Linked DNA regions of Drosophila melanogaster. The protein of the gene in region 1 interacts with the protein of each later gene in a pairwise test. Each region holds a gene or a part of one and is shown in the gene's direction. Other genes may lie near its edges.

Region 1 (4,658 bases):
TAACCAGTGAATGCCAGCAGATCAAGCGTTTTCAGGCTCGTCTTCACATTCATTACGTACAGGGCTAGGGAGTAAATGACCAATTCGAAAATGCTATATGCCATGGCGCTGGAGGCCTGAATGCCGAGCTGCTCCGGCGAAAATCGCTTCTGCATGCCCAGAAGCAAACCCGCTACGATCACGTATGTGATGTAGCCCATGGTGGGCAGATAGAGATCTGGCGCATTAACATCATATCGTGGTTGCACTGGGTGCTCTTGGTCGTAGCGCAGGGACCAATCCTGAAAGGAGTATGTAATTTATATGGTTTCTCCGTTTGTGCTTCACCACTCTCACCTTATGCATATAGGGGAAAAACAGAAGGCGCAACTTCCTGCCCACGTAGGCGTTGTCCACTGCGAAGTAGTACTTGAGCTTGGCTACGGGCACCCACTTCTCGAACTGATTCTCCATGATCTGCTTGCCCTGATCCGCTAGTTTCTGACCGTACTGCATAGCCATGTCTTGCACGATGGGCTGCTGGAACATGGCGAACTGTGGGTACTGTCCAGTGGGTGGAGCTACAGGCTGAGGTGCTCCTATTCCGTAGGTGGGTGGCCCAGCCGCCTGTTGGGGAGGTGGTGCTCCATATCCGTATCCGGGCTGCTGTTGTGGTGGCTGCTGAATGTGCTGCGAGGGCTGGCCGAGATTGGGGTCGAAGCCATAGCTGTTGACCGGGGCCGGAGCAGGTGCTCCGTACATATTGGGATCTAGTATTCCGGGGCCGGTGGGCGGGGCCATGAAGGTGGCGCCACCGCCCATCATCGGAGCCGAGGGTCCCATGGCGTTAACATCACTCACACGCTTCGGCGGCCTTGGGCGACCGGCAGCTGAGGCTATTTTGGGACAGAGCAACCATTAGTTAGTGCCGGAGGATCTAAACGATACAACTGGGAAGCGGGGAACACAGGCACTCAAGCTACACACGCATCACGGAACGGAAACGCACAGCAGGCATAGAAACTGGGGAGCAGGATGCAGTGGAAGCCAGGAGCGGCGCACAAAACGGGGTAACGTGTAACGTAAACAGTGACAGCACTCCGGATTCCGATTCCGGTCAGCGGCGGGTGGGGAAATTCCGGAGTGGCTGCACCGGACATCCTTCAGGTATACTTGCTTGCGTAGCCTGATCCTTACAGTTCTCCCACTTACGGTTCCGCATACCCGGATTTGGATTGTAGTTCATCTTTCTGGATCAGTAAATTGTATTCAAAATTTCGCTTTTTAACACATCACCATAAGCATTTTGTTGTGTGACCGGAGTTTAGTGTTGCCAAATACCAAAGCATGACCGCCTACCAGAATGTTTGCACTCCGATAGATAAAATACTAAAAGTTACAAAAAAAAATTATAGATATCTTTGTTTTTTTTTTTTTTTGTATTATATTTTGTATATTTGTACATTTCTCTATTTTTATAACGTTTACTCCGTAAGTTTACTTATATGTAAATTTATACACTATTTTATTTATACACTAAACTTTCTTTAAGACAATTTCCTATTGTTCATCTTATTGCGATATATGGATTTATGTGCCAATGGATGTCTCAGTACTCAAATAACTGATTTCTTGCATTGGTGGTAACAGAAATATCATCAAGTCAGCCATTATATAAAAGAACATATGTAGATGAAAATTTAAATTGATTGTATTTTAAAGATAAAATATTTTCATAGATTTTGGAGAGTGGATTTTTTTATTAAACTATGCGTTTAAGTGGAAAAGGGCTATAAACAAAACGAGTTGAATAGCAGAGTGACCATGTGAGTTTTGACAGTGCCATCTGGCAACACTGTCGGCTTACTTTAATTTTTAGCGCATTCCGCAGCGCAAAACAAAACAAATTTGATTAGTTAAATAATTGACTGCAGTTCACTTTATTGTTAAGTCAAAGTTATGGAGAACGCACTTAAACGGCGATCTTTAACGCTCAGCACGCGTCTGCTGCATAAGCGCCACAGTGGTAAGGATTTCCAAGCTCGAAAAATCAGGAATATCCATAAAACAATCCTTTGTTAATAGCTTCACCACAGAGCGTACGCACAGGGCACAATGTAAGTGTATCCGTGGACACTCCCGGCTCGCCCAACTCCTCAGCAGTAGTGGGAATCACGTCCGACCTGGAGAGCACTCCACCACACAAACACAAGCCCAGCTTGGACGACAGTGTGGACTTCTCGCCCCGTTTGGACATCAGCCTTTCGCCCAGCTGCCTCTTCTCCCAGACACTGGCCACCGAAAGTCCGGAGGTGGGCTGGCGCTGGAACCGAAGCAGCAATGCCACCACGGACAGTGGCTTCGACTCCGCGGAAATAGGCAGTTTGAGCCAGCGCGAACGACGCCGGCAGATAGCCTTTAAGGGCGTCGAGGATAGACGCAGCCAACTGGACAATGAGCAGTGGCGGGCACAGCAGATGCGGGCTAATGTTCTTCTTAAGGAGCGCTGTGCTAGGCTCAATAGCCAGTTGGAGCAAATAGCTGTGTCCGAACCAGTAATGCCACTAAAAACTCCTAAAGCTCCGTCACCTGTTGCTCCCCGCACAAGATTAACCTGCACGAAGGCTACGCCAGAGCCAGTGCTTTCCCCTGTAGCTGCCTCCGATCCAATGGCAGACTTCCTCAACGACTCGGAGACGGATCTCTTCCTGCTTGAGGCCTCCCAGCAACTGGAGTCGAAAATAGAACACCATGAACCTCCCAAATCAAGCACAAGCACCACACCCACTAGGCACCACACGGCAAAGCGACCCTCCTTCTACATGAAATTTCTGGAAGACGAAAGCGAGGGCGAGGACTGGCTAAACGCCCTAGAAGAGGCAGTGCAGCAGGCCACAATGCCGAAGAAGCCGCGCACCTCGCTGCAGCGCTACAAATCAATGCCAACCACAGGGGATTCGTGCAGCGGAGTGTCCACCCTGACCAATGTGACGGCCAATTCAAATGCCTGCACAAGTGCCTCCTCCGCATCTGGTTCAGAGCTAAGGGATACTCCGCGCATCAAACGGCACGCCAGTTCGCACGCTCTGTCCCCAGCCACATCGCATGGTAAGTGCCAGAGTGAAGTCAAACATTTCTAGACCAAAGCAAACTCATCATTTCGTTCCCTGCAGCGCGCGGCAAACTCTTTGGCAGCCGGAAATGAAACCCGATTAGGTAACCAGCCCCTGAATACAATCAGCTTCCCTTCAGCGAGTACCAATTGTGATGAGCAAAGTTAGAGTTTAAGATATTTCGTTTTGTTTCGCTTGACTTGCGTGCCCCCTTGCCTGAGCATTCTGTATACGAGTACGCTAATTGATTAATGCAGCTCCAAAGCGTCTTTGAAAATGTTAATTTAAGCCTAATTAAAAATTAATTGTAATTTAAAGCAGGACCCTTAATATTCGCATCGAAGGCCTGTGCGTTCGTTCGGCGCATGCGACTCGCCATATGTTCGGCATTATCGGGCCGCGAACGCGCCGCCCACCAGTACCACCAGTACAGGTGGCAGGACGCAGACGGACAGGTGGATACGACTGGTCGCCGACAGGCAGTGAATTGACGTCCCCCGGTTGAGCTTTCATTCACGGATAGGAAGCTCGTTGAGTGCGACAGCGTTTTAAATTAATTGAAATGTAGGCGAAGGATTTCTGTTTTAATATTCAGACTATGGTTATATATAGGTCAGTTGGATTTCTTCGCGTCTTTGAGTTGCTTGAGAAGCAGCTGATAAACCCAACAAAATTAGTATTTAATTACACGTTACCTAAGTACGCCAATTCCTCATCATCTTCGATTGTTTCAATGAATATTTCGTTTTCTTTTTTCCACTATTGATAAACCTGTTTAATATATTATTAAGCCTAATGTAAATGCTTACATTGTGCTGGTTTTTTATATATGTATGAAACATTCAAGACCCAAGCCTTAATAATTTAGTGTATACAAAAGTATTTCTTATTTTTCGTTTATATTACATAAGTTGTATTGAAAAACAAATAAAAACTGCAACTTATTTATCTCTTGAGTTATTTTTCCGGCAACCAATCAAGCAAACATTACCCAATGTTAATTTATGTGGAGTTCATAAAATTAAATTTAAAATGCAATGAGGAGTCTAAGAAGGGATTTCCCTGGAAAACAGAATTTATGGCAAATGAAATCAAAGTGTGTGAATCCCATCTCGCACTTAAAACTCGGGAGGAGGCAACAATCAAGTCGGCATGAAAAGCCGGCGAAAGTTGCCCCAGCTGTCTTCACTTTTCGCTTGGCCTGCAGTTTAAAGGCTTGGGTGCTCGAGGCTTTATGAACCTATTTGGGCTAAGGTCAAAGTTGAAGCCCTTTCGCAGCCATTACGCGTAAGAGGCAATTGCGCCCATGTTTATGAATAGTCCTCCTCCAGTCGTCAGTAGTCCCTTCGCCATTCGAACCGCAGGAGCAAGTGACTCCATTCAGCCGAATCGTGCCATTCAGCCGAAAGTCAGCGAAAGTCAAGTATGCTGCCATATGTTTACGGAGCGCAGCATAAACCAATGACAAAACACTAGCTACAACTTAGCACGGAATGGTGGGTGGCTAATGGCAGCGGGCGTCCAAACTGGTGACGTCTGCGGGCAGCCAAAGCCGCTGCAGAAGCC
Region 2 (5,108 bases), about 10 Mb from region 1:
TTGCTAGTTGCTCGACTGGGTTTTTGGAGCAACTTTTCTCAGTGTACTTCGTCCGCTCGTGTGTGAGCCACAACGGAACGTTTAGTGGTCCCACTTATGCGGCGGAGCAAAATGAAGGGAAGAGGCGATGCAGCAGACGTGGAATGGAAGCCCAAAAACAAAAAAAAAAAAACTACATGAAATAGGTGGACAGCTAAACGTTGTGAAATGGGGCCAAACGCTAGAAGGCATTCAAGATTTTAGTGGGTCTTTGGCCAGGCTCATGTTAATTTCAAACTGTGTCAATGTCGGCTTCCGTTTCCTGCACACACACACAGGACGTAGCCTTTGGCCACTTGAGATGCAAAGAGGTAAAAAGGCCACAAATTTAAACATTTGCCCACTCCAACACGCACCGTCGCTCCCACACACACACACACACACTTACAAAAAGAAATCAAGGTGGCCGGAACGAAACATTGGTAAAACGGTCATCTGCAATAAGCATCAGCTGCTGCTGGAACAGCGTGAAAGTGGAACAAGCAGAGGCTGCAGGACACCCGCTGGGCGAGAAGCACAGGATGTGGGCCAAAAAGGCACGGGGAGCCTGCTCCTGAGGCGCTTGATAAATTGGTAGCGACATTTCAGCCGAAACTTGACAATTAACAGCTGAAATACATGAGCTGTATATGTCTGCTTTGTGTAATTAAAAACCCAGCAGACAGCCTGGAAATTGCTTGGCCAAAATGCTTTCATTTTTTTTTCGGTTCTAGCCACTTTCGTCGGTTGGTGGTCCACTCTTGGACAAGATTGAATGCGCCAACAGAAATTATGCCGCCAAGTGTGCCTTATATTGCTGCTACTGCTGCTCTTGCAGCAGCTGTTTTGGCTGCCTTCTTCTTTGGGCCAAATTAACTTTAGCCAAGTTGAGTCCACAGCCAGCCTATGTGTTTGTGTGTGTCCGTGTTGCCTTCTTTTAAGGGAGAGCATGCCTGTGTGAGTGCTTCAGTTTATTGTGTGTGTGTCAAGGCTATGCTAAAAATTTGTCCAGAACATTTGCACATTTTGATTTGTTATGTTGTGGTGCACTGCAAACAATGTCGATGTATTTGGGTGGATGCTGTACGAGTATTATGTTGTATTGGGTCTCATCTACATCATCGTGATCATAATGTGCTGTTAGCAAAACTCAATTTCTTTTAAATCCTTTGGGGTTTATTTGCCAAGTTGTAATTAATTGAATTATTTCCCAGAAGAAATTATTATGTTGATTTATCTTCGAGTATACGTTTGCTGTATTATGGGGAGCGTGCTATAGTTTATTGGTAAATTAGTAATTTATGTTGACTAATAGATTGCCTCCTTTTCGGCTTTATCATTGTTTTTGTGCAGCTTAGACTTTGCTTCTTCGATGGAACAAAGTTTTGCGATAAAAGGGCGATCAACGTTTAAAGTTGGCTTAGGAAAACCTCTAGAACAGTTCTAAATTTTGGTAGTAACTAAACGAGAAAGCCAGCACACATCCCTCAGTGTCTTTTTGGCCACCCGAGGCGTCGTAACCCCTGAGCCCAACATTGTATGCGAATGCCGCTCCGATAAGACGTGCCATTTAATTACCAAAATATAAAGTGCATTCCGGCTACCAGAGCGCCCAGCATGGAGTTTTCTGCGAGTGTCAAATCCCAAAACAAACCCACGAGCAAATATGCCGCATGCTGATGACGACGGCGATGCCGATGTTCGGCTCGTAACAGTGCACGTGGTGGCCAAAAAGCACGCTACATGCACTACATCTACTCATACACTTACTCACACACGCACACACACACACACACACACACACAGGCTCGTGTCGGGTGCAGCACTCACTCACACCATGACGAGTGCAGAGGCGTCGGCAGAGTCGACCGAGACGGCGACTGCGATAAGATAAAGCCCCTGCGATGACATAGAGCACCCAGAGCGCTCGAGTTCTGCCGACGCTGGCAGAGATGGCGGCGCAGACGAGTAGCGCATATAAAAGCCGCTGACTCGATGGCAACGAGCATCACAAGACGGCCAACCGCGCTGCCGAGCAGACGAGTCCAGTTCGAGAGGGTACCAAAATTTAATCAGAAAGTGTAGAGTCAGTTTAGAAGCAACGGTAAAGTTAACGTCTATCTCTGTGTGTGAGTGTGTGTGTGTGTGCGAGTGCTAGTGCTAGTGCACCTGTGTTTGTGCTGAGAGTTTCCGCTACAAGAATAATAATGCCGCAACATTTTTCGAAAAAGCCCATTTCCAAAACCGACAAAAGAACAAGCCAAAAGTAACGAGCACAAGTGGGTGGCTCAAAGAGCTGCGAGGCTCAACAGGAACCAGAGCCCCAGTTTTCCTTGAGTGGGCAGATAGTTTGTGAAAGAAAGGTGGGGGTAGGGTATGCTGGAGGTACTTTTGCAAAAAACACAACCAACCTCTCGACAATTTAACAACTGGAAGAATATTCTTACTTCGCCCCACCTTGGTCAGGGCCATAATGAATTCATTGAAAGCGTGGCCAAAGTTTTGCTCTGGCCAAGCCAAGGAGAAGCGAACGCTGCCGCTCTAAGGATCCTCGTCCTGTCAGTCAGTCAGTCAGTCAGCCAGCCTGTGTCTGTTTTTTCGGTCCTGTTGTTTGGCCAGGCATGCGTCGGTGGCCTTAGGCCGCTCATTGTGAGCTCCTTGGCTCCACAGCTCCTCGGTGGCTGCAAATTGTAAATTGTAAAACTGTAAATTGTCAAACTGTAAATTAATGCAAATTACACGAAATTACTGCGAACCGGACAATGCAACAAAAGGCAAATAGTGGACGCGGAATACGGCGGACAGTGGACAGCGGACCACGGACAATTCCCGGAGCTGCATCAGCAGATAAAGAGCAAACGGCGACGCCACTTGCATTGTCTATTATTTTAAATTGGCTGCGCAAATTTACGGCAGCGCAAAAGTAATTAGCGACGGTTGAAAACTGTGCCATCGTCCAACTCGAATTGAGAATGAAGATGGGTGAGAATTGGAAAAGCGATTGGGTCATCTGGTCATCGGGGGGATTAGGCTGCTGCTGGGATCAGCAAACCGAGTTGTAGATTCCCTGCCAATGGCAGGCCAAATACGTATTCCACTGTCCAATTTGCATGCTGATGCAATCAAAACTACTACAATTTGTCCAGAAAATCGATCAATCGCATGTCTGACAGAGTGTAGCATACTTTTCAGCACTGCCTAACATTTGTCAGCTATCTGCATTTTTTTCGGACCCCATCCCACATTTTATTCTCTAATAATTTATGAGCTTCCTGCCTGCCCTCGCCTGTCGGGAATTCAGATTTTGCATAATAAACACATTGCAGCCCAAACCAAAAAACAAGAACCAGTTTATGCAAATCAAATTGTGTTGATAAACGAGTGGTAGGGTGTTCTCTAATTTGATTGCCCAATAAATTGCTGTATCGAATGAAACCATTTCGCATCTCGCGCGCCGATACTAAAAAAGCAATTAAAGCATTGATGTCTTCATATTGAAATTTATAACTTCACAGATGGCTATTAATTGCCGGAGAGGAGATAAAAGTCTGGGATTTCCGCCATATTTCCATTATTAGAAACTCGTTGCTGCGCTGCATGGCCCGAAAAATGAAAGCGAAACTCAAACAGAACCCAATTAACGAGCCTTCGGCGGTGATGTTGGTTAATGTGGTTGCCTCGTGCCACAAAAGCCGACGCAGTTTTGTGGCAAACAGCGCGTGGCTTTTATGCATTGGCGCATGAGTATTGGTAATTAATGGGAAGGCGGCGGCACAAATGACCGTGCCACAGCGACAAACAAACTTCCGCGCCACACGGCGTATGCGTAATGTGCTCGGCGCCCTACAAAGCGGAACCCAGCGGAAAACTGAAAAACAAATGACATCGATGAATTCAATTTGCGCGCATATTTAATTATTAAATGCGAGGATAAATAATACGCACATCAGGCTATTAAAAGGCTTTAAATTTCCACGGCCATTTCCCGTAGCCATTTCGAAAGTGCTACTGAAATGTGATTTCACTGCATTGCAATGCATTGGCTAGCAGGCTCGTAGATTATCCAGTCGAACTTAATCCCGTTTCCAATTGACCTGGAACAAGCAGACCATTTATATCACCTTTTATATATATTTATTTGCATTGATAAACTTATAAACATATAAAGATTTATGCTAGGAGAGAATATATCAGAATATAACAGAACTAAATAGTATGAATATTTTTGGATGAATATTATTGGCTCCAAACTGTTGTATGAAAACGGTTTCATTTGTCTTAAACGACGAACAAATTTCACAAGTGGTCTCATATTGATTTGTATTTTCCCGTATAAAAACATTAATTTCCTTATGCCCCTGGCTACGTGATTGTATTTCAGTTGAAAAGCACTTTTCATTCCCTTCTGGAAAGAAACTCACGGAATTGCAATTGCCAATGGAGATGGAAAGGGCGCCAAATTGAATATTACACTTTTTGTGTACTTTTAGCCAGTTGAGATGTGGATTATTTTTTCAGCATTCATTTTTTATTTTAACCAACATACTACCACTCCAATTTCACCTGATGTTAATTGAGGCGCACGTGGGAAATTAATGAACTGTGACAGTCTGATTTTTGCGCGCAAATGTGTGTGCATTAAATGCTAAATGAAGTTGACATCGGCTGCCGCATTGTTTGAGGCCATCGTTAATTTATTAATTAAACAAGCGATTTAACCTATTGCAATAATTGTCAAAATTAACCTTTATGACAGCGAAATTTGTGAATTCAATTAACATTGCCAAAGTCAGCTTTGCACAAGATTAATCGTTCTAAGGGAAAATGGAAGGAGGGCTTATGCAGCTTATGAATTTTTGCAATATACAGCATTATGAATACTGGGCCAGATTATTTTTTAATTTATTTTGACTCTTAACTTTTGACCTTGCTATGACATAATTTTAAATAAAATGTGGGTAATATTGTTGATTTTATTCCGTTTTTCATAAATTGTAATTGAACTAATCCACTTTTAAGCCAGCACTCACCTGCACTTCAGATGCCCGAAGGCAATAGAACCAATATTGATAATTCTTCCATTAGAATAA

Evidence for each region.
Region 2: the proteins of CG6425 (region 1) and Scp2 interact in a two-hybrid assay, tested with the Drosophila melanogaster proteins (one large-scale study listed by BioGRID).

The regions. Positions count from the first base shown.
Region 1 is NT_033777.3:26,714,545-26,719,202, reverse strand, and holds CG6425 (uncharacterized protein), read left to right. Parts: upstream 1-1,813; 5' UTR 1,814-1,938; coding exon 1,939-2,005; intron 2,006-2,064; coding exon 2,065-3,087; intron 3,088-3,152; coding exon 3,153-3,184; 3' UTR 3,185-4,038; downstream 4,039-4,658. Other genes in the region: Yif1 (Yip1-interacting factor 1), read right to left, coding at 1-281, 337-875, 1,177-1,225.
Region 2 is NT_033777.3:16,580,578-16,585,685, reverse strand, and holds the start of Scp2 (sarcoplasmic calcium-binding protein 2), read left to right. Parts: upstream 1-2,022; 5' UTR 2,023-2,122; intron 2,123-5,108.